Linked DNA regions of Tribolium castaneum. The protein of the gene in region 4 binds, or shares a complex with, the protein of the main gene of each other region. Links are inferred from orthologs where the notes say so. Each region holds a gene or a part of one and is shown on either strand. Other genes may lie near its edges.

The links. The genes of interacting proteins can lie anywhere in the genome.
Region 1: l(2)37Cb (region 4) and cysteine-rich PDZ-binding protein share a complex: the UniProt entries of both Homo sapiens proteins name them as parts of the minor spliceosome. The link is inferred for Tribolium castaneum from reciprocal best matches to the Homo sapiens genes DHX16 and CRIPT.
Region 2: l(2)37Cb (region 4) and SmE share a complex: the UniProt entries of both Homo sapiens proteins name them as parts of the minor spliceosome. The link is inferred for Tribolium castaneum from reciprocal best matches to the Homo sapiens genes DHX16 and SNRPE.
Region 3: l(2)37Cb (region 4) and RNA-binding motif protein, X-linked 2 share a complex: the UniProt entries of both Homo sapiens proteins name them as parts of the minor spliceosome. The link is inferred for Tribolium castaneum from reciprocal best matches to the Homo sapiens genes DHX16 and RBMX2.

The regions. Positions count from the first base shown.
Region 1 is NC_087394.1:8,404,211-8,410,096, reverse strand, and holds cysteine-rich PDZ-binding protein, read right to left. Parts: upstream 3,202-5,886; 5' UTR 3,085-3,201; coding exon 2,912-3,084; intron 2,854-2,911; coding exon 2,724-2,853; 3' UTR 2,548-2,723; downstream 1-2,547. Other genes in the region: ras-related protein Rac1, read right to left, coding at 1,903-1,946; Noc1 (CCAAT/enhancer-binding protein zeta), read right to left, coding at 3,307-3,674, 3,722-3,850, 5,524-5,735, 5,795-5,886. UniProt on the Homo sapiens protein: As a component of the minor spliceosome, involved in the splicing of U12-type introns in pre-mRNAs. Involved in the cytoskeletal anchoring of DLG4 in excitatory synapses.
Region 2 is NC_087394.1:32,140,083-32,146,014, forward strand, and holds SmE (probable small nuclear ribonucleoprotein E), read left to right. Parts: upstream 1-2,734; 5' UTR 2,735-2,951; coding exon 2,952-3,236; 3' UTR 3,237-3,385; downstream 3,386-5,932. Other genes in the region: kelch-like protein 21, read left to right, coding at 99-283, 838-994, 1,054-1,219, 3,505-3,638, 3,688-3,847, 3,893-4,221, 5,094-5,272, 5,325-5,538. UniProt on the Homo sapiens protein: Plays a role in pre-mRNA splicing as a core component of the spliceosomal U1, U2, U4 and U5 small nuclear ribonucleoproteins (snRNPs), the building blocks of the spliceosome.
Region 3 is NC_087396.1:22,562,999-22,569,389, forward strand, and holds RNA-binding motif protein, X-linked 2, read right to left. Parts: upstream 3,687-6,391; 5' UTR 3,548-3,686; coding exon 3,534-3,547; intron 3,485-3,533; coding exon 2,698-3,484; 3' UTR 2,694-2,697; downstream 1-2,693. Other genes in the region: LRP1 (prolow-density lipoprotein receptor-related protein 1), read right to left, coding at 94-178; mitochondrial tRNA-specific 2-thiouridylase 1, read left to right, coding at 1,098-1,179, 1,226-1,391, 1,439-1,623, 1,673-1,899, 2,100-2,693; TBC1 domain family member 31, read right to left, coding at 3,812-4,434, 4,482-5,111, 5,299-5,653, 5,700-6,135, 6,182-6,330, 6,378-6,391. UniProt on the Homo sapiens protein: Involved in pre-mRNA splicing as component of the activated spliceosome. As a component of the minor spliceosome, involved in the splicing of U12-type introns in pre-mRNAs.
Region 4 is NC_087398.1:7,193,320-7,200,083, reverse strand, and holds the end of l(2)37Cb (pre-mRNA-splicing factor ATP-dependent RNA helicase DHX16), read right to left. Parts: intron 5,121-6,764; coding exon 3,740-5,120; intron 3,693-3,739; coding exon 3,474-3,692; intron 3,280-3,473; coding exon 3,096-3,279; intron 3,042-3,095; coding exon 2,817-3,041; 3' UTR 2,798-2,816; downstream 1-2,797. Other genes in the region: DNA repair protein XRCC3, read right to left, coding at 151-391; zinc finger protein OZF, read left to right, coding at 922-1,056, 1,107-2,384. UniProt on the Homo sapiens protein: Required for pre-mRNA splicing as a component of the spliceosome. Contributes to pre-mRNA splicing after spliceosome formation and prior to the first transesterification reaction.

The sequences.
Region 1 (5,886 bases), on a different chromosome or scaffold from region 4:
TTTATAAAAGCTTTGGGAGTTGTCAAGTGAAAAAAATAACACTGCAATGCCGTAGTGTTATAACTCCCAAAGCTTTTATAAATGTTAGAATTTTAACCTATAAGAAAAAATATTCTCCTCTGATTGAAAAACATTAATTTTTACTTTTTATTGCAATTTTTAAATAAAAACTTAAAAAAAAAAAATTTTAATATTTTTTATTTATGTTTTGTACCGGTTTTTCATTTTTATTTAATAATTTCTTGGCAAAGTGAAAAGTTCATACTGAAATCTATGAGACAAAAATGGAATAGGCTCTCAAATTCTATTAGCAACAAAGTTATTTAAAAAATTGTGTTAAGAGGGCGCTTTTAGCCCCCTTTAACAAAGCTTACCACCTTACAATTTGCCCTATTAAATGATTATTTAAAACGACTGGACGTAAAATTTTATAAAACGTTTATAAAAAATACCTGTATTTTTGGGGCAATTTTGGAGGCTAATTATTCCATAAAAAATCCCTTTTGAAAAAAAATTAAGAATATTCGTCAATTTAATTTTAATGCTCAATCTAACCTGTATACAGGATGTTCGCGAAATTGAGGCATTCCTATTAATATGTGACAGTATGCATTATTCTAAAGAGTTTTAGGTTAAATCGTCTCTTAGTAAAATTCACGAATTTCTAAAAGGACAAATAAAGGCATTTCAATATTAATACAAAATTAAAGATTTGCTAATGCAATTTTTTTTCTGTTCAGTAAAACCATAATAATATAATTTTTTTTGAAAGTTCATATTTACAGAAAAGTTTGCGACCTCGATGTTGGATTAAAATTAATTTTAATAAGTAAATTGCTTAATGCTTATTTTTATTAATACCATTTTACTTTTAGTTTTACTTAGTGTATTTTTTTATATGTTGTACTCAAACTTTTTTCAACACCTCACTTATTGGCAATAAATAGAAAAAAATTAAAGTGAACTGGCCTTTATGGCGTTTTTTGTTCTGTTATAATTTATTGTTTAAACATACTGAACAGCCATTCCAGGAAAAATGTAACTTAACACCGAAATTTTAAAATGATTTTGGTACCTACAGTAAAACCTCTCAACAACGGACACCGATGAGGGACTGTCCGTTGTGGAGAGATGTCCACTTATGGGAAGTGGAGAATTTTAATATAGGTATTATGCTCCTACAAAATTGTCCGTTGTGAAGAGGTTTCACTGTACACGATGCAGTTTATATTTAATGTATTTTGCGACAAAAACATTTTTGGGAGAGGATAAACATTTAAATTGAAGTATTGGATTTTAAAATTTACATACCTAGATACTATGCCTTTTAGGCTATAACATAAAATACTGATATAATGCAACTGTTGAATAATTTTTGAAGAGTATTTTTCTAGTTTCTAGTCATTTAAAAAATGAAAATCAGTGAAAAAATTGCTTTTTATATAATTTTTTGGTGTCCCGTCCGTTATCGCAAACATTACATGTTATTCTTATTTCTTACGATGTTAAACAAAACCAAAAATTTTTAATTTACATTGTCTAATTTTAATATTGCTAAAGTCTTTAATAATTAAAACTTGTATGAATACAATTTTTAGAGATGTTTTCACACACAAGATTTTTTGTCCCGTCCGTCATCAATTTGTATTTCAAACTTTAAAAAATGTGGTTCTAATTGTAAGTTGCAAAAATTTGACTGGTACTAAGTTCCTGTCAAGAAAAATTCACTTCTGGTAATACTGTTTGTAAAAACTGAAAATGAAATCTAAAAAAGTGTGCAGTGCCCTATCTGTTAAAATGGTTGTGAAATAAAAAACAATAAAATAAGAACAATGTGGTTCAATTAAATGTTACAGAGTTAATGTAATTTTTCTAAAAAGAATGTAGGTACTGCAGACTAACCCTTTAATCCGGGTAGTTTCCTCCCTTTCTTCTTGGAAATCCATTACAATACCACACACTAACCGCGATCACTACCCACAACAAATTTGAAATTTTGAACTGGAAAATTTTAATTTTACGTCCGTTTGCGTCAAAAGCAAGAACCAAACTGAATAAAATTAAACGGCAGTATTGTGTAAGTGTATGGATAAAACGTCACCAACAAAAAATATAATCACTGAGATAAGTAATTACTGCAAGGTGGAAAACAAAGAGGTTTGTCTGATTCATTGAATTTTGTTACGACTTCGTCACGTTTTTTTTATATACAGGGAAGTGAATTTTTAAAATCCAATCGCTGAAATTCATTTCTAAAAGGTTATATACAGTGTAGCCACTTTTAGAAGTATTTAATAATACGACAGACATCAATTTTTTCAATTATTTTTTTAGTGCAATAAGACAAAATCGTATTTTAACTTTGTGGAAATAATATTACAGGTACAGTTTTTTAGTTTATAAAAAAGTCCAAATAATAATTCTAGAATATTTGATAGTTGCGTTTTAATAATGTATAGTCAACCTTAATAACAAAAAAGAAATAGGGATAGAATAGGTAGAAATGAATTAATAAGTTAAAAATGTTATCATAAAAATGAAATAAAAAACTTTTGTCATAAGTTATTAAATATAATTACACACCTTATCATTCAAGATAATTAAATTGTCGTACACTCACTGTATACAGACAGAAAACCTAACAGTACCTACAAAACAATGCAAATTGCTCTAAAACTTAGAATAGGCTTAATTTTGTTTAAAAGTAACACACAAAATGTAGTTCAAGTTGACGATTGTTTGTAATTCTTCGTACTCAACAATTTCTTACCACACATCGCACAAATTCCTTTTTTATAAGCACAGGACTGGCAATAATGTGACCCAACCTGGTGCACCTTTTGCCTACATATTCTACAATAAAAACATGAGAAGAGTAAATCAATTTTAAGGATTACTTGCATTAACAAACCTGCAAGTCTCAAAACTGGACGTGTATGGATTAAATCTGTTTTTGCTAGCTGTTAAAGCCTTGTTTTCGTTAACTTTCCTACCCCCTGACTCAGTTGTATTTCTAGCCCCACTTTTCCAAGGATCTGGTGTTATCACTTTGCCCAACTTCTTTTGGCATTTTTCGCACACCATTTTCACAAAACACGATAATTATTGTGAATTTGGTACGAAATTGTAAACACGAAGATAATAAACAGAACGTACTGTTAAACGTCACGAAAAGTTAGGTTATGGGTTATGTGTAGTTGTATATTCGCGAAATACAACCAACACGAATTAAATAAAACACAAAACTGGTGGATTCGTAAAGAATTATATTAATTAAAATGCAATCGACTGCTTCCTTGTCGATTATTAATTCTTCCTCTTCTTTGCCTTATTATTAAATTTATTTGGACCTTTCCTTTTCTTGCCAAAATTGCTACCTTTACTATTTTTCTTTTTGCCAACTACTTCATCAAATCCCTTCAACCACCTATTTCTACTCTGTTCCCAGGCAAGTTGTTTAGTGCTCGCATTATCCTTATTTGATAACGCATTTGAACTTCCTGGGGCTATTTTCGAACTACCTTCATCGTCAAGCAATGAGGCAAATTCTTCAGCTGATGCAAATATTGAGTTTGTGTCTTTGGATTTTTTCTTCTTTGATTTTGCTGACTTCGGTTCTTCATCGTCAAAAACAACTTCCTCGTCTTCATCGTCGTCTAAGTCACCCAGAAGCACTGCAAGCAAAGGATAATTTTGTGTTTTATTATTACAAAAAATATACTTTTGTCATCATCGTTCATTTCAAGGTCATCTTCATCGAAATCTTCATCTTCGTCCATTGACAATTCTTCGTCAGAAGCATCCTCCATCTCGCTATCATCGTCATCACTATCATCATCATCTGTCCGTTCTGGAAAACAGAGCAAAATACATTTTGAAATTAAGTTGGCAACACTTATTTTTATTATTGGTACTATAAATTGTAGGTGAAATTTAAAAATCGAGTACAAAAATTAACGTTTAGATTTGATAGTTATTGTGGCCAACTTAGATTTAAAATCATTGATCACTCAGATTATTATTATTTTTGTAAACTTAATCTACAACAAACTTAGGCATTTCTGTCTGGTTTCCAGCGTTTGCTAATAAATATTTAATTTTTTTTATCTATGTAATTCTTTTCAAAATTTTTCTACAATTCTTTTCTACAAATTAGCAGTTGTCAGCAAAATATACTTTTTTATATTAATTATGAATCTTAATCTGTTCTATAATTATTCTTTCCAATAAATACGTGTACTCAAGCTTCTGAGGTAGAAAAAGAATTCATTAAAATTAACAAAGTAATTAATATAGAAAAAAAGATTTTTGTTATTAATAATGTTGTTCCGGTCATTAAATTAAATTAAATATTTAGACTTCCTCAACCTACTTGATATAACATACACAATAATTTGAAAAAGTATATTTTGAGTTACCGAACATTCGTGTTTTCAAAAAAAAAAACTAAAAAAAAATTTAAAATTAAAATTTAAAGGTAAGTTCAGAAAATATGTTTTAATATATTTTGTGCGGTGCAAACATTTTTTTTTATTACTTCTTATAACATTCTAAGACAACAAATGCTTAAAAGTTGATTTGTGCAAAAGATACATAAAAAATTGTTGCTAACTCAAAGTGTGAATGGTGTGGAAAAAAATTCAACGTAAAAAAGCTAATTTCGGTCCAATTTGTTACCAATTATTCGAGTTATCGAAGTTCGACTGTAATTATTTTTTTTGAAACATTTTCCATAATGTGGTAAAAGTACACAAGTACACAACATAAAAGGTCGAAATTTTCAATCGACTAACTGTTTTCAGATAAAATATAAATAATGAAGCACTTATAAAACTGCGCCGCAAAAAAAGTTTTAATGAAAAATATTTATACAATTTTAACAAAAAAATACACAAAACTTTAACACAAAGTATAGCAGCTCAATAAAATATGCACCATATAAAATTTACGATTCTAAGTAGAAAAATATCAAAAAAATGTGTTTTTCAAATCAACATGGTTCCTTTTCCATGACATTTTTTTACATTTTAGAGACATTTTTTTATTAATGGTTCAAGTCTTGAAGTCAAATATAATGATTTTTTTACCGTCGCATTACTATTAAATATTTCACTGAAGTTTACATAACTTTAAAGTTGTAACAATTGGAATAAAGTCGAAACAAAGAATAAAATCTTTGCAACTTTAGAACTTAAAAAATTTAATTGGCATTTACTTTACAAATGCAAATGTGAGCTAAACGTAATTTTTAATGTTTTTTTTTAAAGACTAGAGACAATTTTTAATGTAGTTTTTGTTTCAAAATGTCATTAGAAATAAAAAATAATAAATATATTTTCAGTTAATATTATTATTACTAATTAATTAATTTAACTTAGACGGAATTGTAGAAAAGTTGTAAAAATATTTGCATGCATAGAGAAAAAATAAAGTATTCAATACCAGTCTCTAATTTCTGCATGATTATAAATTTTTGATAAAAATCATAAAAAGTATATAATGAAGCGCAAATAAAAAACATACTTTTATCCTTTTGGCTTTTCCCGTTAGTCTTAAGATTATCTCCAACATCATTCAAAAAGTCCAAATCTTCCTCATCATCCTTAGGAAGACCAGCCATTTTCTCCAACATTTCTTCAAATTCCTCACTTTGAACCGACTCCAAATCACTATCATCCTCATCGCTTTTATCACCAAAATCTTGCTCTCTGTCGTGGTACTTCTTCCGTAAATAACTAAACAAAACACAAAATTTGACATGTTTCCTTAAAACAACCCCACACAAAAACATTACCTATACATAAACATCTCATCTACAGGAATATTTTTCGAATCTTCATTCAAATAATTTGCTGAATTTACACGCAATGACCTTAAACCTTTAGG
Region 2 (5,932 bases), on a different chromosome or scaffold from region 4:
CAGCGACTTAAACATAAGCCGGCTTAATGGTACGATTTTCAAATAATCAAGATATTTGGTCGAAATATTTACAGTGTTCGAAATGTTTTTAGCTTAGGATGGGATCTCGAGTTGGAGGATTTAATTCAGCTGGTTTGCCAGCTGATAAAGCTTTAGCGGGGGTTCCCCGATTGTTGGATGATTTGCAGCGCCTTTCTGAAGACACGGATTCAGCAGACATTGTTTTTATTCTTGGGAGAGACGAAGAACGTGTGTACGCACATCGAGTAATTCTTATGGCCAGGTGAAAGAATTTTTCTAATTACGTCCTTAATAAATCCCTTGTGCTTGTTATTTTTCAAGTTTTTCAAAGCTGTTGGTCTTATTTTGTCGTAATTAAGGCTTATATAATGAGAAGATGATCAAGCAAGAACAAATTGTTGGACTTTATAAAAGTCTGAACTTTTACAAAGTTGCAGAGACAAGGAACTATGGTTTCGCGCACCTCTCATTAAAACATCAAAGTTGTTTGCACCTTTGTTCTTATCTACTCGTAACTTTATTGCTCCACTCATATAATGACGCTAATAATAAGTCTCTTTCTCTATCTCAACGACTCTTGTTTCTGATGTCTAATTGGATATCTTTCGAAAATTGCTTTGATCCTGTGAGTCCACTATTGTGAGAGAGCACCTACACGCGCTGTACATTATTATGCATTTTTCTCCAAACGCATAGATGCATAAACTCATATGCCTGAGTGGCTGACGGCGGCTCAAAGAAACAACTAAAATGTAGCTAATGGAAACGTCTTTGTATCTTGAAGCTAATTATTTCATTCTTCAATATTCCGCTCAGATGCAAGAGTTTTCAAACGGCCAAACGCGGTGAAGTGTGTCGTATTCCGGGATGTTCTGTTTCTCCAGCAGCCCCAGGAACACCCACACCTGTGCGTCTACCGCAGGCGCCTCCTGACACTTTCAAGCAGTTCCTCCTTTATGTGTACACAGGAAAGGTTGGTATAAATTACCGATTATTTGTTTATTTTATACTGACAATAAAGACGTTTGCCAGATACTGCTGCAAGACAGTGGAGTTTTCGAAATGTTGGCGCTTGCTCAAGAACTGGGGGTTGATGAATTGAGAAATGCTTGCGAAGATCATGTCACTTCAACCTTGTCTGTTGCTTCAGCCTGCACTTTTCTGGCAGCTGCGATGGACATACAAAATCGGTCCCCAGGTAAGTGAAAAATTAATTCAAAATTGCTCAACATCAAAAACTGTAATTCTAAATAAATTTGAGATTAAAAACTTACTAAAGAATGGGTAAGTATAGAGGTATAAAGCTAATGAAGAAATAACTAAAAAAGAAATAGTGACCTAATAGTGCACTTAGAGTCGCCCTGACTGCCTATAGAGACGCTGTATCTCTATGCCATTTGAGCATTTGAAAATTGGGAAAAAACACTCAACCCCTATGCACAGATTTCATATAAATGATCCTTTGGTCCTTTGGGATCGGCTAGGGCTCATTAACATCAATTTTGTATCGTTTTGGCATTAATTTTGAGATTTTTCTCGCCTAATTCTAGTTTTTGGGGCTATTAAGACTCAAACAACACTTTACACTTCATCACAGTTTGGAAAATATAAATAATATAAATAAAAATAATCTCCGGTGCAAATAAAAAAATTAAGGTTCAAAGAGGTTTTGGGCCGCAAAGGTGTAGCACTTACCTTACCCAAATTGAAAAATGTGTCTTTTGAGCCGGTTTTTCCCCGAGTATTCTCCATAAACACAGTCAAGGGGCAGGTCGTTGTGCGCATCGCGCCAGGTCACAGTCTGCGCGCCCGCACTTTCAAATTCACAAATATTCCACAAAAACAGGTGCCCCACTTTGCATTTTTGAACCACCCAGTCCAAATAATCACTAGTTTCGTTCGATTTTCTGAGAGATAACAACACTGACTGACAATCACGCGATGACAACTGTTAAAAGCAGCATCCATTTGGTGCAAAGTCAAAGCACTCTTGGCAATTTTTTCTTAAGTGTGATTTCAGGCATTTATCTAACTTTTTGAGCAAAATAACCCTTCCTATTCAGTAAAGAGTTGATTTAAATGTCGTTTCACATCTTTATATCGAGTTTATAGCTTGTCGTTTTTTTCTTTAAAGTCACGTAAAATTATCCCGCCAAAACCAAAATTGTGTCATTAAGGGTAACAATGACAAAGAAAGACCTATTGACGATTGTGTGTGTGTAAGACACGGCGCAACTCCTCATATTAGCTATTTCAAAACTATAAAAACGCCAACCTCGTATTTTCTCTCAAAATTAGTTGTTATAAATTATTTATGCACTTCAAAAAACTAATAGGTAATGTTATTTATAGTCTCAATGATTTATTTATTAATAACTATTTTACATTTTTATCAACCTTATTAAAAAAAAATTGAGTTTATGAGACACCAAGTTCAAAAAAAATATATAAAAAACTATCACGTCAAAGAAAGCTAAATGAGAATAAAAAAAATTTTTTTCGAGACATTTACGCCCATCTGATGATAATTATGGAATAACTCAGCTTGATTAGTTAAGGAAAACCCAAAATATAAATTGTGCGACTATAATTCTGCGTGAATAATTTTGGAAAAAAAATGGGACGTTGGTGTTTTTATAGTTTCGAAACAGCCTAAAAACGACCAAACCACCAGACCTTTTTCTGGTGTATTTCAGCTCGTCAAGCTTCCCGCGTTCCACGATTGCCAACAGAATACAGAACTCACACAGATAACCTTACTTTGGTCGTATTGTAAGCGTCGCCTCATTTTTTAAGTTTTATAAATACTATTGCAAACTTTGAACAAGTTTTTTTCTCTTAATACGAATAATTCGTGCTGTGTGAAAGTGTGTTTGCACTTAGCTTCCTTAAAGAACTTTTTTTGCCGGTAACCCAAGACTCCTCTAACCATGGCGTACAAACCACAAAAAGTTCAAAAAGTGATGGTACAACCCATCAACTTAATTTTTCGTTACTTACAAAACCGTTCACGTGTACAAGTGTGGTTATACGAGAACATTAATCTGAGAATCGAGGGGCACATTGTGGGTTTTGATGAATACATGAATCTTGTGCTGGATGATGCTGAGGAATATTACGTTAAAACGAAGAACAGGAGGCAGCTGGGAAGAATCATGCTTAAAGGAGATAACATAACGCTGATACAGAACGTGAATCCTCAATCAGGCAATTAGTTGTAAATTGTAGCGTAATTCTAAGTTTCATAACAATTTTTTCATTCGTTGGAGTAATGTGTTTGTATGAAAACCGCAATTGGTCTTAGTATTAAGTGATTCATCAACTTTCTGTAAAAGAAATGCGGACATTAAAATTATTTTAGTAATTATGTCTATTTTTATAACTTCAAAGTCCTTAAAATTAAAATGTGATGGACAATACAGGTAATTATCGCTTTTTTAGAATTGTGAAGCTTGTAGGTGTTCCAATATATTTTTTTTGTAGGGGGTAAAGCTGCGACAGGTTTTGTCGAACGTTGCGTCAGCTACATTGGCGAAAATGCTGTAGAATGTGTAAAAACAAACTCATTTCTTTCTCTTCCCAAAGAAGCAGTCTTAAAATTAATCTCCTCAGATTATGTAAGTTTTAAAATTTTACTTAAAATCATTTATTACTGTTTCAATTTAGCTCTGTTTGGAGGAAGAGGATGTCTGGAGAGCAATTTTAAACTGGGCAAAGTACCAAGCTGGTGTCACCCAACCCACAGCCCATTGGACTGAAGAAGAGAGGGCCAGAGTGTGCCAGCACCTCTCACATGTCATTTCTCACGTCCGCTTACTTCTGATTGGTAAATTAAATTTTTTTTTTCTCTTATTTATTTGTAATATTATAGACAGCCAAGTTTTTGCCGAAGAAGTTGAACCAACTGGAGCCGTTCCAATGGAGCTCAGTTTGGAAAGGTACAGACATGCTGCGCTTCCTAGTAAATATCCTGAAGGAGCAGAGGACCAGAGACTGCGTCCAAGGGTATCACCTCACTTATTCCCGGGTTCGCTAATTCTGGGTCAGGATAAGAGTCACTACCAAAGGGTGCTCAATGCCTGGTTCGGTAATCCCAAGCAGAGTTGGAGACTTATTTACAGGGCTAGCAGTCATGGGTACTCTGCATCGGCTTTTCACAGACACTGTGATGGGATTTCGCCCACTTTTGTCATAGTTTTGGTAAGAATTTTGCGATTTATTTTAGCTGAGCCGTGAATAAAAAAAAACACGTACGCATACATACATATTTGCTTAGCGCTTTGTTGAAAAAGCCTCCATAGTTTGTCCTCAAAAAATAATCATGTATTAATCTCAATCATAAAATACAATATTTGTTTTTGTAAAAAAAATGTATTATATCACTGGTAGAAAGATGATTCACTGAATTAATGGTTATAAATAAGAGAGAATAAATAAACCATGGGCAGATCAAGATCTACAGATATGTGAATGAGAAAATATAAAAAATAACTGCTCTATTTTTATTTAAAAATTGTTTAGCATCCACGATTTTATCTCTTGGTCAGTAATAAAAGTAAAAGCAAAAGTATTGGGATTTTTTTTCTTCAAATTATTAATTTAGTAATTCATGTATTCTTAACGTTAACGACGTTGATAATTAGACCAGGGGTTAAAAACTTTGTTAAAGTTTAATTTATTTTAAATGTTTTCAACAAAAAGTATGTGATTGTGAATAAAATAGTACAGTATTTGTACAAAATTTGGTGGTAATGACTTTTAAAACAATTTGTTTTGTAATAAAAATTATTAGTAAAAATGGTGGATGCGCTGGGACAGATTATATTTAACCTGGGGTTAAAGCTTGGTAGAATTCTATTTTATTCATATGTATAAATAATAAATAAAACAATGGCACTGTGGTAAGGGCTTTTAAAACATTTTATTTTTAATTAAAATTATTTTCAAAAATGGTGGATGCGCAGGGACAAATATTACATTCTTTTAAAATTAATGAATTGTTTTGTTTACCATTTTATAAGAATGTATTGTTGTTTCGATTGTACGAGTTTGTGTTCATTGCTTATGAATAGGGTCCAAGGGGGGAAATCTGTGGCGGGTTCAGCGACGCAGCTTGGGGGCGCCCACCAGGCAAAAGCCACTACGTGGCCTCAGAGCGGGCTTTTCTCTTCACGCTTTACAACCACCAAGACTTGCCACCTACACAGTTTCATCTAGTGAAGAAACCATTTGCCATTTGTTACCACCCAGAGTATGTATATTTCATCTGACAAAAAAGAGGGATTTTACAGTGTTAAAATTAGTTCAGGGCCGATTTTTGGGGCTGGCGCTGATCTCCTAATTTCAAACAATTGTAATAGCAACATGGACAGTTACTCAAACTTGCCGCACACCTATGATGGAGATGGGGCCTCTCCTGCTGTTTTAATGGGCGATTATAATTTCACCGTCACCGATTACGAGGTTTTTACTCCAGTTAGTTCATCAGGAAAGCATCATAAAAACGAAAGATATTGATCGCATACTTTTGTGACAAACGTATTTAGTGTAAATATATTTTCACGATTATTTATTTTTTTCCCACCATACCACAAATATTACAAATCGCCACTTCAGATTAAGAGGTGTAAAAATAGAACACTAATGGACGTATTGATTTTTTTGCACCTTTTTTCGTCAGAAGTGCGTGTTTAACTAATAATTACCAATAATTTTCGTCAAGTGTGCTCAAGATGTTTACCACTAGTTTGTTTCCTTTAATCATAAAATGTTTAGAACTTGATGTGAAAGAATTTTGATTTCCTTATTACATTACCATTCCTGTTAGCGTCAAAAGAAATTAAGCATTTTGTCGCCATTGACACACATTTGTTCCTAATCAAGAAAAAATTAAAGGTGTGATTAGCTTACT
Region 3 (6,391 bases), on a different chromosome or scaffold from region 4:
CATTAACAGCGCTGATAAATATTTATTTAATAAAGTCGCCGTTCGATAAACAACACGTCCTTAACCTCCGGCCCTGTCCCACCCCTCACTCACCTGTTTTGGTGGCCGGAGCGGTGGTGGTGCCCCCTTGGGCCCCCCAGACCATCATCAGCAGTCCCAGCAAAAAATCGCACCTCATTGTGCCGGCACTCTAGATTCACTCACTTTTTCACCAACATCGCAGAACAAAGCGATTTTTGTCAATGGTCATCGCACACAATCAAAGGAAATTCGCGGTTTTTGTCCGGTTTTTCACACAATTCATTCAAATTAACGAAGTTGGAGCAAGAAACGCTCGATGGACAGCACGCCGTCGAGCTATCGCACTCTGAAAACAAAAATAACAACAATCCAAACCCGTTCAACTGGAAGCTGGCCGCGAGATAAGTGCGGAACGTCGACAATTGGCGTCCTTATCTCACACAAAAGGGCCGTGATCTTTTCTCTTTATCTAACGTGCGGATTGGTTCAAGAAGTGAAGAGCGGTGACGGTGCTGACGCCACACGGAAGTGCATGAAAGGTGGCTAAAGGTGGGTGTCCCACACATGCCCCCTAAAAGGCCATGGGGGTGAACACAGGGGTGGATTTGCGTTTTTTTACCAAATCTAAAGCTTCAAACTCTGACACCATGCGCAAATTCGTGGCAATTTAAATTGGCAGTTCTGGATTTTTTTGGGAAACATTTATTAAATCGTCAACAAGGCTTTGCCATCAACCTGACAGTTTATCACCTGTTTCTTTTCTAATATCTATCAAGTGCAACGACAAGTCTACAGTGCGGTTTTTCTAATATTGTAATTTAAAAAATAATGTTATGCAACCAACATTACACCCGCGCCCATTAGGTTTTTTTTGCACTTTACGTACAAGATTACAAAAATGAATATCGTTTCCCTGTTATTGGACACTCTAAACAAATCATAATTTAAATAATTATTAAAACGTGATCTCCGTTTTGGCGCATTTTTTCGCTTGTTACCGCTGATCAACCCAGTTGTGCTACCGCTGACTTTTGTCGAATTTTGTTGGTTATGTTCCTTTAAACGGCGAAAAAAGCATGTTAAACATCCGAAAGGTGGTCGTGGGCATATCTGGGGGCGTCGATAGCGCCGTTGCGGCACTTTTATTGAAAAAACGCGGTAAATCACGTCAAAAAATTCGAATAAATTCGAGTCAAAGTTCTAGGTTATGATATACAGGGTGTTTTCATGCAAAACTGGGACATTGCGGACGAAAAGGGCTACTGTTCGGCTGACGCTGACTACAAAGACGCTGCTCTAGTGTGTGACAAACTGGACATTAAACTAACTCACGTCAATTTTGTCAAACATTACTGGAACGAAGTGTTTAGGTATATAATTAAATTCCCCGCCAAAAAAGACATTATTCGAATTTCAGCAATTTAATCAAAGAATATGAGACCGGCAACACGCCAAACCCTGACGTTCTATGCAATCGTAACATTAAATTTAATTATTTTTACAAATACGCGAGAAATGAGCTAGGGGCTGACGCTATCGCGACCGGACATTACGCAAGGACTAGTTTCGGGTCTTATCTTGAACATTATAACCCGGAAAAGGGTCTGTATCCAGTCAAAAAAAAAAACAATTTATTACAACAAAAAAACAGGGGTAAGACTACTAAACGCAGTTGATTGGTTCAAAGACCAAACGTTCTTCTTGTGCCAAGTCAATCAAGAAGCTTTGCAACGTACAATGTTCCCATTGGGCGATTTAATGAAGCCGGAAGTGAAAAAAATTGCAAGGGAAAACGGACTTGAAAAAATCGCAAGGAAGAAGGAGAGTATGGGGATCTGTTTTATCGGCAATCGCAAATTTCAAGACTTTATTAGAGAAGTAAGTGATTAGTTCACAGCTTCCGTGATTGGCCAATTATTTCTTACTTTAATTTTTGTTGTTTTCGAAGTTTTATAAATTTTTTTTAATTAAAAAAAATATTGTAGTCAAGCACTAACGTGGCTCCCTCTAGGTGAAGGGAGGCCTGTCATTGGTCAAAGAAGCTTTGCACTGGTCACTTGACTAAACATTTTTTTCAGTATATTGATGATAAACCGGGCGATTTCGTGGACGTTGACACTGCGAAAGTCGTGGGTCAACACAATGGGGTGCACCAGTGGACTTTGGGGCAAAGGGCGCGCCTCCACAGCTACGAAAGCCCTTATTTCGTGGCCCGGAAAGACGTAGACAAGAACATAATTTACGTAGTCAAAGGGACAAAACACCCGTTACTTTACACGAACATAATTTTGACCAGTGAGCCCCACTGGATCCACTCACAGCCCCCTGATTTACAAAACGGGGTTTTGGAGTGCGATTTCAAGTTCCAACACACCAAATATTGGGTCAAATGCCAGGTGTGCCAAACAAGTAAAGGACTGATTATTAAAGTGAATAGGTACAAGAGGGCCATCACTCCGGGACAGTTCGCTGTCTTGTCGAAAGATGGCGAGTGTCTCGGAGGGGCTCGAATAATTAACACGGGAGTTTCACACTTCTCGCTATATTATTTGGAGAATAATGGTCTAGGGAGTGTCTCCCACATTTTGAAAAAATATGTCAATGTGACGCAAGGTGAAGACGAGCTTACTGATAATGAAGATATGAAGCACAGAGCTGTAAATAGATGTTAGTAAATCAGCGCTTTTTCTTATTCGGACTCCGCGACCGCTTCCTCCTATCCTCGTCCTCTGACACGCTGTCTTCAGCGGAGTAATCCGACCCTGACTCGCCCTTCTTCTTCTTTTTCTTCTTCCTATCTGAATCGGATTCGCTGCTGTTTTCGTCCGACTTCTTTTTCTTCTTCTTCTTTTTCTCCTTCTTGTGTTTCTTTTCCTTCTTCTCTTTCGTGACAACAGGCTCCGGCGGCGCCTCCTCGTCCACTTTCTCCTTTTTTATCGTGTAAATGGGCAAGCGCTCAGGCAACTTGATCTCAGAATTAATCTGGTCGGCCAGTGTTTCGCGAAAATCGTCAGGGTCTGTTTTAATCTTCACTGGCGCTTTGACAGGAACTTGCACAGGGACGGCCTTGGGGGCACAGCCCTCATCGTACAGTTTCTTCGTCTCAGCGTCCGTTTTCTTGCCCTGTTTGGGCACCTTGTAGTTACTGACGTGGTCGACTCGTATCGTCCTGTTCAAGATTTTGATTCCGTTGAAATTATCAACGGCCAAGTCGGTCGATCTTTGGTCCTCGTAGCACAGGAAACAGAAGCCCTTTGACTTGCCCGAGTCCTTATCCCTGATCAGGTTTATGTTCACCACTTCGCCATACTGCGAGAAAATGCAAATTATGTCGCCCTCGGTCAGGTCGAAGGGCAAACCGCCGATGAAAACCCACGCACTGTCCCTGTATTGGTCATGCCAGGAGGTTTTATTACCGGTGTAGAGCTCCTGTTCGCTCAGTTTCTTCACATTTTTCATGTTCCTGGAAAGACAACTTCGCAAAATTGGGGCAAAAAATCGACAATACTTACGTTAACGGATTCATGGTGCGTGATTGTGGGGCCTCTGACCCCGAAAAACATGAACAAATACAAATAAAACAAATGTTCAAAAAATAGGTTAGGTATTTGACGTACGTTTGACGTTTGTGTTAATTGCGTTAAGGTGCATTCACACCGCGGCTGGAACTATTAAGGCGACTTCACATCGGTTTGTAAATTTATTGCCGTTTAAAAACATATCACAGGTGCATATGAGATCATAAAACGTATAAATAGAAACGATACAACTTATAATAAAATTGATTGTGCTATCCGCCCACTTCCTCACTCCTTAAATTGGCAAGTAGCTCGATTAAATTGGCAATTTTCAACGCCAACTCTTTGCTTTCCGCTTGCAGGGCGACAACGCGTCGATCGGCATCACTGTCACTCCCGCTCTTTTGTTTTTCCAGCTCACTTTCGACTTTTTCGATTAGAGCATCCATGGCTTCAAGCCCCGTTGTCAGATTTAACATCTTCAAATGTTTGCGGGGCTCTTCACTACTCCGCACAAAATTGATTTCGTTCGATAATTGTTCCTGTTGTTGATCAACTGATAGTTTTGTACTTGTGACAACTTCATCAGTGTTTAGTAACTTTTCGATTTTGTACTTGTTTTTCAAAAGTTCGGCATAGTGGAAGAGGAGTTCGTCCTCGGTCTTGGTCAAGGCGTAACCTTTCTCGCCTTTTCGGAACCTGACATCGTCCATAATCGACGATAGGTATTTTCGGCGGCTTTTCAATTGCTGTTCCTTCGCTATTTGGTGTCTTAAGGAGGCCAAAATTTTGTCTTCTTGGTGGAATTTTTCGCGCAGGTTGGCCACCCTTTCGTAGTACTCCTGGACACGGGTTTGCTCCTCCAACAATTGATTACGAATCGCGCGTTCCATTTCTGACAATTTATTTAATTAAAACCCCAAAAAATGTACAAAAACTTACCCAAAATTCGCTTATTCTCTTCTTCCTCCACTTCGAAATTTTGCAACCGCTCCAAACTAATCAATCGGCGTCTGAACAAATCAACCTCGTCTGTTTTCAACCCCGCCATCTCTCTCTTCATCTCGGCCTCTTTATCCGACATCTCGATCATGGTTTTGGGGTAATCACAAAAATTGGGGTATTCCCCCAAATTAATTTTCTTGAACATGTTCAAATATTGCCGTGGGTGCACGGCCTCGCCCGTCTTGGCCAAAATGTGGTAACTTTTCGTTAGCAATTTTTTAACATCTATGGGATGATGCGTTTTGTAAAAACACCGAAATTGTTTATCGTCTTTAAGACTCAAAATGGAGGTTCGTTGTAAAATATTGTAAGCCACGACTCCACACAGTAGAAACGAAGGTTCGTTTGTTAAAACATGGTCCCAGAAAATTTTCCAGGATGGCGCTGTCAAAACCTCGGAAAATGCAGTTCGCAAAATCGGCCATGCGTACAATTCGGAAGAGACTTTTTTTCTGGTTAGGAAGTCCAAAAGTTCGGGGTCGTGTACCATTAGGACGTTTTCAATCATCGCAAGTATGTTGATTGGAGGGAGAGGGAAGTACTCGAACCAGAATTGACACCAGTTCACTGCGATTATTCACTCAGTACCCATAGTGTGGTCCTTCGAGCCGGATCAACAAAAATATGGAAAAATCTTAATTAGAAATATTTTGTTGTAGCAAAAACAGTTTGAAAACAATGAGATTTTAAATATTTTCAGTTTTAATAAGACTATTCCATAATTTTGCCGCTCATTGAATAAAAAAACACTTACAAATTATCGTGCAAACGGCCTCAAAACACGTCAACGGCTTGTTAATAAAAACCTTGACAAAGGGGAACACAAAAAGTGGCAAATAATCCACGTTGAGGAAGAAGGGACACCACGTGACCAAATTATCCAACAGTTGTTTGAGGTTTTTGAGGTTTCGCTTGTTTTCAAGCGGGTATTTGCGGCACAAATCCTCAAATGAGACTATCATTCGGTGGTTGATAATCCCATTGTAGAGCTCCCTATTATTGGGAAGTGCCAACAAGTGTTCCCAAATTTTGGTCCGGTATGAATCGGGAAACTCGCCACACTCTTTCAATATCATTCTCAATTTTTCAATCTCGAGAATCTCCCTAATCTGACAATTTGACAAGTTGTTTAGTCTGCGGTCCGCCTCAACTCACCTGCTCCTTGACTATGCCCATTTTCTCCAAACATCGCTTCAATTTGACTTTTTTTCGCGCACTTTCTGCCCGAACGGCCTTCAGTTTGAGTGGCACAACCACGTATTGGGTCACATCGTAGATATTGACGTCACCGGACGATAAAACACAGGCCATATAACTCGCCGAAAAATCGTATTTTGAAATTTCGTAATTTGCAACTAATTCGCTCATTAGAACATTTTGGTGGCTGTCGTAGAAATAAACAGTGCCACGGCCTGATAAAATGGCTAAAATTTTATTCGAGCCGGCGTCGTTTGGCTGGGGGATGAAATCAATGTGTTTCAGTGACTGGATGTGTTCTGGCAATGTTATAAATTTAAATAGTTTGAAGTTCGAGAGTAGGAAGAGGGCGAGGTGTGGTGAGCGGCAACCAATCACCATCACTTTGCCGTCCCTTGAAAAAAACATAAAAAAACAATTGACAAAAACCATCGTCATACTGTGTGAACGTGATGTTTTTCACTTCGTGGTTGAACCACACCAGAGGTGGTATTTCAGTCTTCATCTCAAACGTGCCAAACTGCCAGATCTGGATCACGTCGTCGTTGAAACATGTCAAAATATAGGAGGAAACGGGAATGAAGCACACCTGGAATTTTCGAAATCAAATTAATTCTAACGATCGCAAAGACGTACATATTTCAGGGCGC
Region 4 (6,764 bases):
TTTCATTTTTGAATTGGCATTTTTAGGTGACAAAAGTACAATCAAAGAAAAATATTGTTATTAGCATAGTCATTAGTCATCGACTGATATAATGAATACACTTTAGTGCCATAATTATTTCAAATACATTTTCGAAATACGTTTTTATACCTGTTCCTATTTTCCCGCTTAAAACTATATTAGCACTTTCCTTCAAAACTTCCTCAACACAGTTTGAATCAAGATCGGTCATCTGCATTAGTTCGGTCTTCGTATGTGAAAAAATTGCACTTGGTGAGGCAATGTTTGCTTCAAAAGATTCAATTTTTAAGTGGTTTGTGATTATATTTGTGTTACCTTTAAGTAAATTTTCATACACATCGGGAGCTATTTTTTCTTTTAGCTTTTCCATTAAAATTTGACCGGTTAAACAACTTATTATTTATTTACCATTTGTTTACACTTTTTGACATGTGTCACTCCTAATCGTAACCTAAAATTGATGATTTTACAGTTATCTGTAAAGAATGTACTGTCCCTGATTCATAGAATAAGAGAGTCGAAGGCCCTATCGAAGGGCTTAATCTCCTGCAAAAATTAAAGAAAATTGCAAGATATAAAGGGGGTGAAAAAAATCAGTTTGAGAATAAAAAATGCAGAAATTAAATACAGTTACGTTTTAATTCGTAATAAAAACACATTAGAATGGTCAGGAGATGTTCTACAAATGTGATATGCAAGTCAGCGTAACAGCTTATTGGTGTTTTTATAATGATTTACGATTATTTCGATAATTTTCCTGGTGTTAACTTGGCTGTAGAATAGGAGATTGTCTGGTCGACTGTAATGTTCGTGGTGCCAGCACAGATACTGCTTATGTCTTTCTGCGTCGTTGTTTGCGATCAATTTTTGAACACAACAAAAATGTTAATTCTTTAAAAAATGAACCCGTTTTCGGAATTTGAACACGTACAAATCGAAGAAGTATGCCGCATTTGCCTTACAAAGAAAGAACAGATGAGTTTAATTTATGAAACTGGTTTAGCAGACATGCTTTTGGAATGTGCTTCGCTCCAGGTAAGTAAACAATTAAAATAAAAAATAATAACGCATTTAAATTTCTTAAGGTAACACCTGACAATGGACTTTTTAATTTTGTGTGTCAGCAATGCCAAAACGAAGTCAGCCGTTGGTACCTCTTTAAACAGCAAGTAGTTCGGTCTTTTGAAGTCGGTAAATGGATATTGGAGAGAAGAAACAAAAAACTCGAAAATGATGAATTAACAAACACAATAAAAGACGAAGTGGACATTCCCCCAAGTGTGTTTGATGTAAATATCGCTTTCAATACTTTAGCCAACAATAGTAAAGATGTGCAAAGCACTTTCTTGGTCAATGAGTCTAGTAATCAAATAGTGAACACCCCAACTGACTCTCAGTCAAAAAAGAAACGAACACGCGAAGATTTAGTTTGCAAAATTTGCCACAAACAATGTCTCACCACCAATTCGTACAATCGCCACATCAGAACGCATGATAATTCCCGACCGTTCGTTTGCAGCAAGTGTGATAAGGCCTTCAAGACAACCCAAGTGCTGTCAGAACACATGAAACGGCATTACGACGACAGGCGCCACCAGTGTGCTCTTTGCAGCAAAAAGTTTTACTCAAAAGCGAGTCTAAACGACCACTTACGGAGCCACACAGGGGAGAAACCTTTCGGATGCGAAGTCTGCGGACGGGCTTTCGGGACCAAGGCCATCCTCAGACAACACCTGGGAATTCACACAGTGCGTGAAAAGAAACACCAGTGTAACATTTGCGGCAAATTCCTGCTCTCAGCCGGCAGTCTAGACACCCACGTGAGGAAACACTCCGGCATAAAACCGTTCTGTTGCCCCGGTTGTGACAAAAGCTTCTTCACTAAAGAAGCAATGCAAAGACATTTCGACGCAATCCACGACACTGACAACAACTTCCTGTGCAACTTCTGCTCAAAAGTGTGTTCAACGAAAGTACATCTCAACAACCACTTGAAGAAGAAGCATCTAGGGCTGGGGAAGCCCCCGAATGCTGTGTGCACCGAGTGTGGCAAGCAGTGTGGTTCAGCCGCCGAACTGAAGGTCCATGTTAGGGTACACACGGGAGAGAGGCCGTACAAGTGCGATATTTGCAATAAGAGGTTTATTGCAAAAGGCAATTTGAATTCGCACAAGTGGAGACACACGGGAAGAAAGCCGTTTTTGTGTAACCACTGTGGGAAAGCGTTTGGGGAAAAGTCCACGCTCAAAGTGCACGAGAGGATACACACGGGGGAGCAGCCGTACAAGTGCGAGCTCTGCGAAAAGGCCTATGTGCAGAGCAGCGCCCTGAGGACGCACATGAAAGGCCATGAAAAACAGTGAAGGTTTGGAGATTTTATAAATTTATTTATGAATAAATACTAGTCACAAGGGCTATATATTTTTATGCCCTTTTTTAATTGGTAAAACCAAAAAATAATTAGACGAGAAAAGCTATTTTATTATCGCCTTTCAGTATTTTCATCTCATTATGATTAGTTTATTATTTTCATTGTCTTTTTTTATAAAAACAAATTATTTCGATTTCGTAATTTTATTTACAAAAGTAAAGTATTTACACTTATATTTGTATATTGTATTATCACTAATACATTTTTATTTTTCTATAGTGTCTTTTGCATTTACAAGCAATTTATTTACTGTTCTATTGTTTGCATGAGAAGAAATAAGAATTTTTTCCAACAATACCAAACTGCTTTACTTCTTCAATTTTTTACATTATTATAATAAAAAGCTTTCGGTTCTAAAAAATCTTTATTCAGTTCTGGTGCTACGCCCGACAGTCTTTGGCATTTTTTTGTTGGTAGAATCCTCCAGTTCCTTCTGCTTGTAATAATGAGGTGCAACCTCCAAAAGCCACTTACTCTCGATTTCTATAACTTGTCTCATAAACTCTTTGGTGGTAAAAACCAGCTCGTGATAAAGAACCCATCTTGGCAAGTCCTCAAAAAGGGCACTATTGGGATGTATTGTGACACTCTGAAACAATTTCTCTCAGTACAAAGAAAACTATAATTTTTTTGGTGTTAAAACCTGATTATGTTTAACGGTTTTGTAAGTCCCTCCTTTGGATAACCGAGCAATGTGGTAGAAATAACCGGCGGTTATAGCCTTTTTAATGTCTGCAGCCTCGGTTATATTTGACACCATGTCGATTTCAACCCTTTGCATTAAACCGACCAACTGTTCCCTCACATCGCGAGCCCTTTTCATAGATCTACAACAAAATAAAGCACAATTATTTACGTATCTTCAACAACTAGATAACTTGAAATTTATATTTTTCTAATTTATATTTCTAATTTTTTTAAAGTACTGAAGATGAACCGGTTAGTTTGAAACATTTTCATTCTTTTTTCTTTATTTTATTTTTCTTTTATGGCAGATTTCAGAAAAAATAAGAGAAATCACCTGTATTGTATAAAATTCTCGTAGCACCATTGGGTGGAATAATCGGAATCCCTCCACTGGTTGTACACATTTAACAAGCTCAGATGGTCACCCCCTATGTGATTAAAATTTTTGCGTGCCGTGTCAGCATGAATAATTTTATCCTTGGGCCTGTAAAAAATCGCCCCATTGACCGAAAGCATGGCCGCAATAGTCACAATCTCCTCTGAACATTTGTATCTGCAAAAAGCAAACAGTAACAAACCCACACAAAAAGCCAAACTTACTTTTCCGAAGCTAACAACATTTTGGCCATCATCGGATCAACCGGAAACTCCGCCATCCTGCGCCCCAACTTCGTCAACTCCCCGTGATGGTTCAACGCCCCTAAAGCATACAACTGTTCCAGTGCCAGAACAAGTGTCTCATGTGGTGGCGGATCAAGAAAATCGAAATGCACCAAATCGTTAATCCCCAACGCTTTCAGCATCAGTACAGCGTTGCCTAAATTAATCCTTTGTATTTCCGGCACGGTATTGTCCTCCAGTTCATGCTTGTAGGACCAGGCGGTGTACAAACGAAAACACTTCCCGGCCGCCACTCTGCCAGCCCTCCCAGCCCTCTGATTAGCCGAGGCTTTCGAAATTGGCACCACAATCAGGCTCTCCATCCCAGTCCGCGAATTGAAGTGGTTTTGTTTGGCAAAACCGGGATCAATAACATAGATTATATTGTCTATCGTTAAAGAAGTCTCCGCTATATTTGTCGCAAGCACAACTTTCCGGGCCCCTGGAGGCGTCGGTTCAAAAATTTTCGCTTGCATGTCGCTTGGCAGGTTCGCATAAACGGGCAGAATAATCAGTTCCTTGACTTTGGAGCCCAACCGGCGAACCCGATCCTGCAACAACTCCTGACACGTCTCAATCTCATCCTGACCGGTCAAAAAAACAAGAATATCCCCTAACGGTTGAGTCGCGTGAATTTGTAGAACGGAAACAACGCACGCGTCCACATAATCGGCCTCTGGCGCCTTAGTGTAGTAAATATCCACCGGAAACCTCCGGCCTGGAATGCGGAAAATGGGCGCATCGTCGAAAAACTCGGAGAATTTTTGCGCGTCGAGCGTTGCGCTCGAAATCAGCAGTTTCAAGTCGGGGCGAAACCGGGCGATGTCTTTGACCAGACCGAACAAAATGTCCGTGTGTAGCGTCCGCTCGTGGGCCTCGTCGATGATCATGACGCTGTAGGACTGCAGGTCGGGCTCGGATAAAAATTCGCGGTGGAGCGTGCCGTCGGTCATGTATTTGATGATTGTACGTTCGGATGTGCAATCTTCGAATCTGATCGCATAACCGACTTCGTTGCCGAGTTTGACTTCCATTTCTTGGGCTACGCGGGCCGCTACCGACATGGCGGCGACACGGCGTGGCTGCGTACAGCCGATTTTTTTATTGTCGTTGGTGAAGCCGGCTTCGTGCAAGTACTGCGGGATTTGGGTTGTTTTTCCAGAGCCGGTTTCACCCTCGATTATTAGGACCTGGTGCTCGCGGACGGCCTGGATCAAGTCGTCGCGAAACGGGTAGACTGGGAGGTTTTTCTTCGTTTCTTGGATGTCGAGCTTCTTTTTTTCCTTTTCGGTTAGTTCGGGCTCTTTCTTCTCTCGTGTGCCTGTTTATTGATTATTTTGGTACAATTTTGCCAATTTAATACCTCACAGACTAGTTCTTATCTCATCGTTTTAAAATCCTAATACCCCTAAAAAATGTACCGGGTGCTCAAAAACCGGCGCACCAATTCAATGATGTGCGGTAGAGAAATGCTTAAATATAAAGGTAAAAATAGTAAAAAATTCTTTGTATTACAGTTATTGATAAATACCGAATTTTAAATAAATGATATGTGGCAACGTTGTCTAATAGTCGTGATCGCAATAGAATTTGTTCAACAATAAAAATTAATTATTTTTGAAACGGTTTCCTAGGAAATAATGCCCAATGTTGACACATCTACAAATTGTGATTTTTTGATTTATTTAATTTTTTTTAAATTCAGAAAACTGCTAAAGTCTGATAGTAAATTTAAAAATAATTAATCATTATTTTATTAAGAAACGATTACTTAGTGAGAAACATAAAAACATTAAAAAATAATGAAAACTGAAGACATTAACAAAATACGTTTGTAGTTCTAGACTTTCTAAAATATGAGATTAGGAATTTTTTAACGAATTTTGCTCAACAACGTACCATTAAATTGGTGCGCCAGTTTTTGAGCATCCTGTATAAAAAAATTATGCATCTACCATTTTTTAGTAAATAAAATTCTCATTGCGATATTTTTTTCATGCGGTTTGAAGGTAACTTTTTTTATAGAAAAATAAATCGACTTTAACTTATTTAATCTCGGGTACAAATATTTAAAATAAGATAAAAACTGATCTGTGACGTAAAGACCATTTTTAAATTACTGTTCTTAAACATTTTATTTCAAATTTTGCGTTCATGTGTTTATTTGAACAGCTCCTCCACAGACGTTCTCAGTATAGTTCAACATTAACTATTTGTCATGGAACTATTAAGCTAATATTTTCAATTGAGAGCATTCAAACAGCAATACAATTTACCTATAAATTACTTATTTAATGAAAAAGTATCCAAATGATTCTTAAACAGGTGCTAAATCGGTTCTTGTAAGAAGATTACAGAGAAATAAAAAAATAAATGCCTACTTTTTAGAAATACAGAGCAATTATTTTAATTAAATCTACCTACTATGAACTGAAAAGGTCAAATGCAAGTCAATACTTTGTCTTTTCTCTATTTTTAGTTTGAATAAAAACGGCTTATTTCTGACGATTCTTTGGTTAAAAACGAAAGATTGAAAAAACTCTAGATAAAAAGAACGTTTTTTTTGCACTAATTTGGACGAAAACGATTTATTTTATACAATTTCTTGCTTAGAAACGAGAAAACTCTTTGAGAAGTGGCTGAAAACCGCCTTATTTTAGCCGAAAACAACGATTTATGTTATAGTTTGGATGAAAACGGCTTATTTCTGGCTATTCTTTGCTTAAAAACGAGAAAACTCTCATAAAAGAAGATTGAAAACGCCTTATTCTAGCTCAAAAGAACGGTTTATGCACTAGTTAGAACGAAAAAAAAAATCATTTTGTATAATTTCTTATTTAGACACGAGAAAATTCTTGTATAAGTGGCTGAAAACGCCTTATTTTAGCCGAAAACAACGATTTATGTTATAGTTTGGATAAAAACGGCTTATTTCTGGCGATTCTTTGCTTAAAAACAAAAAACT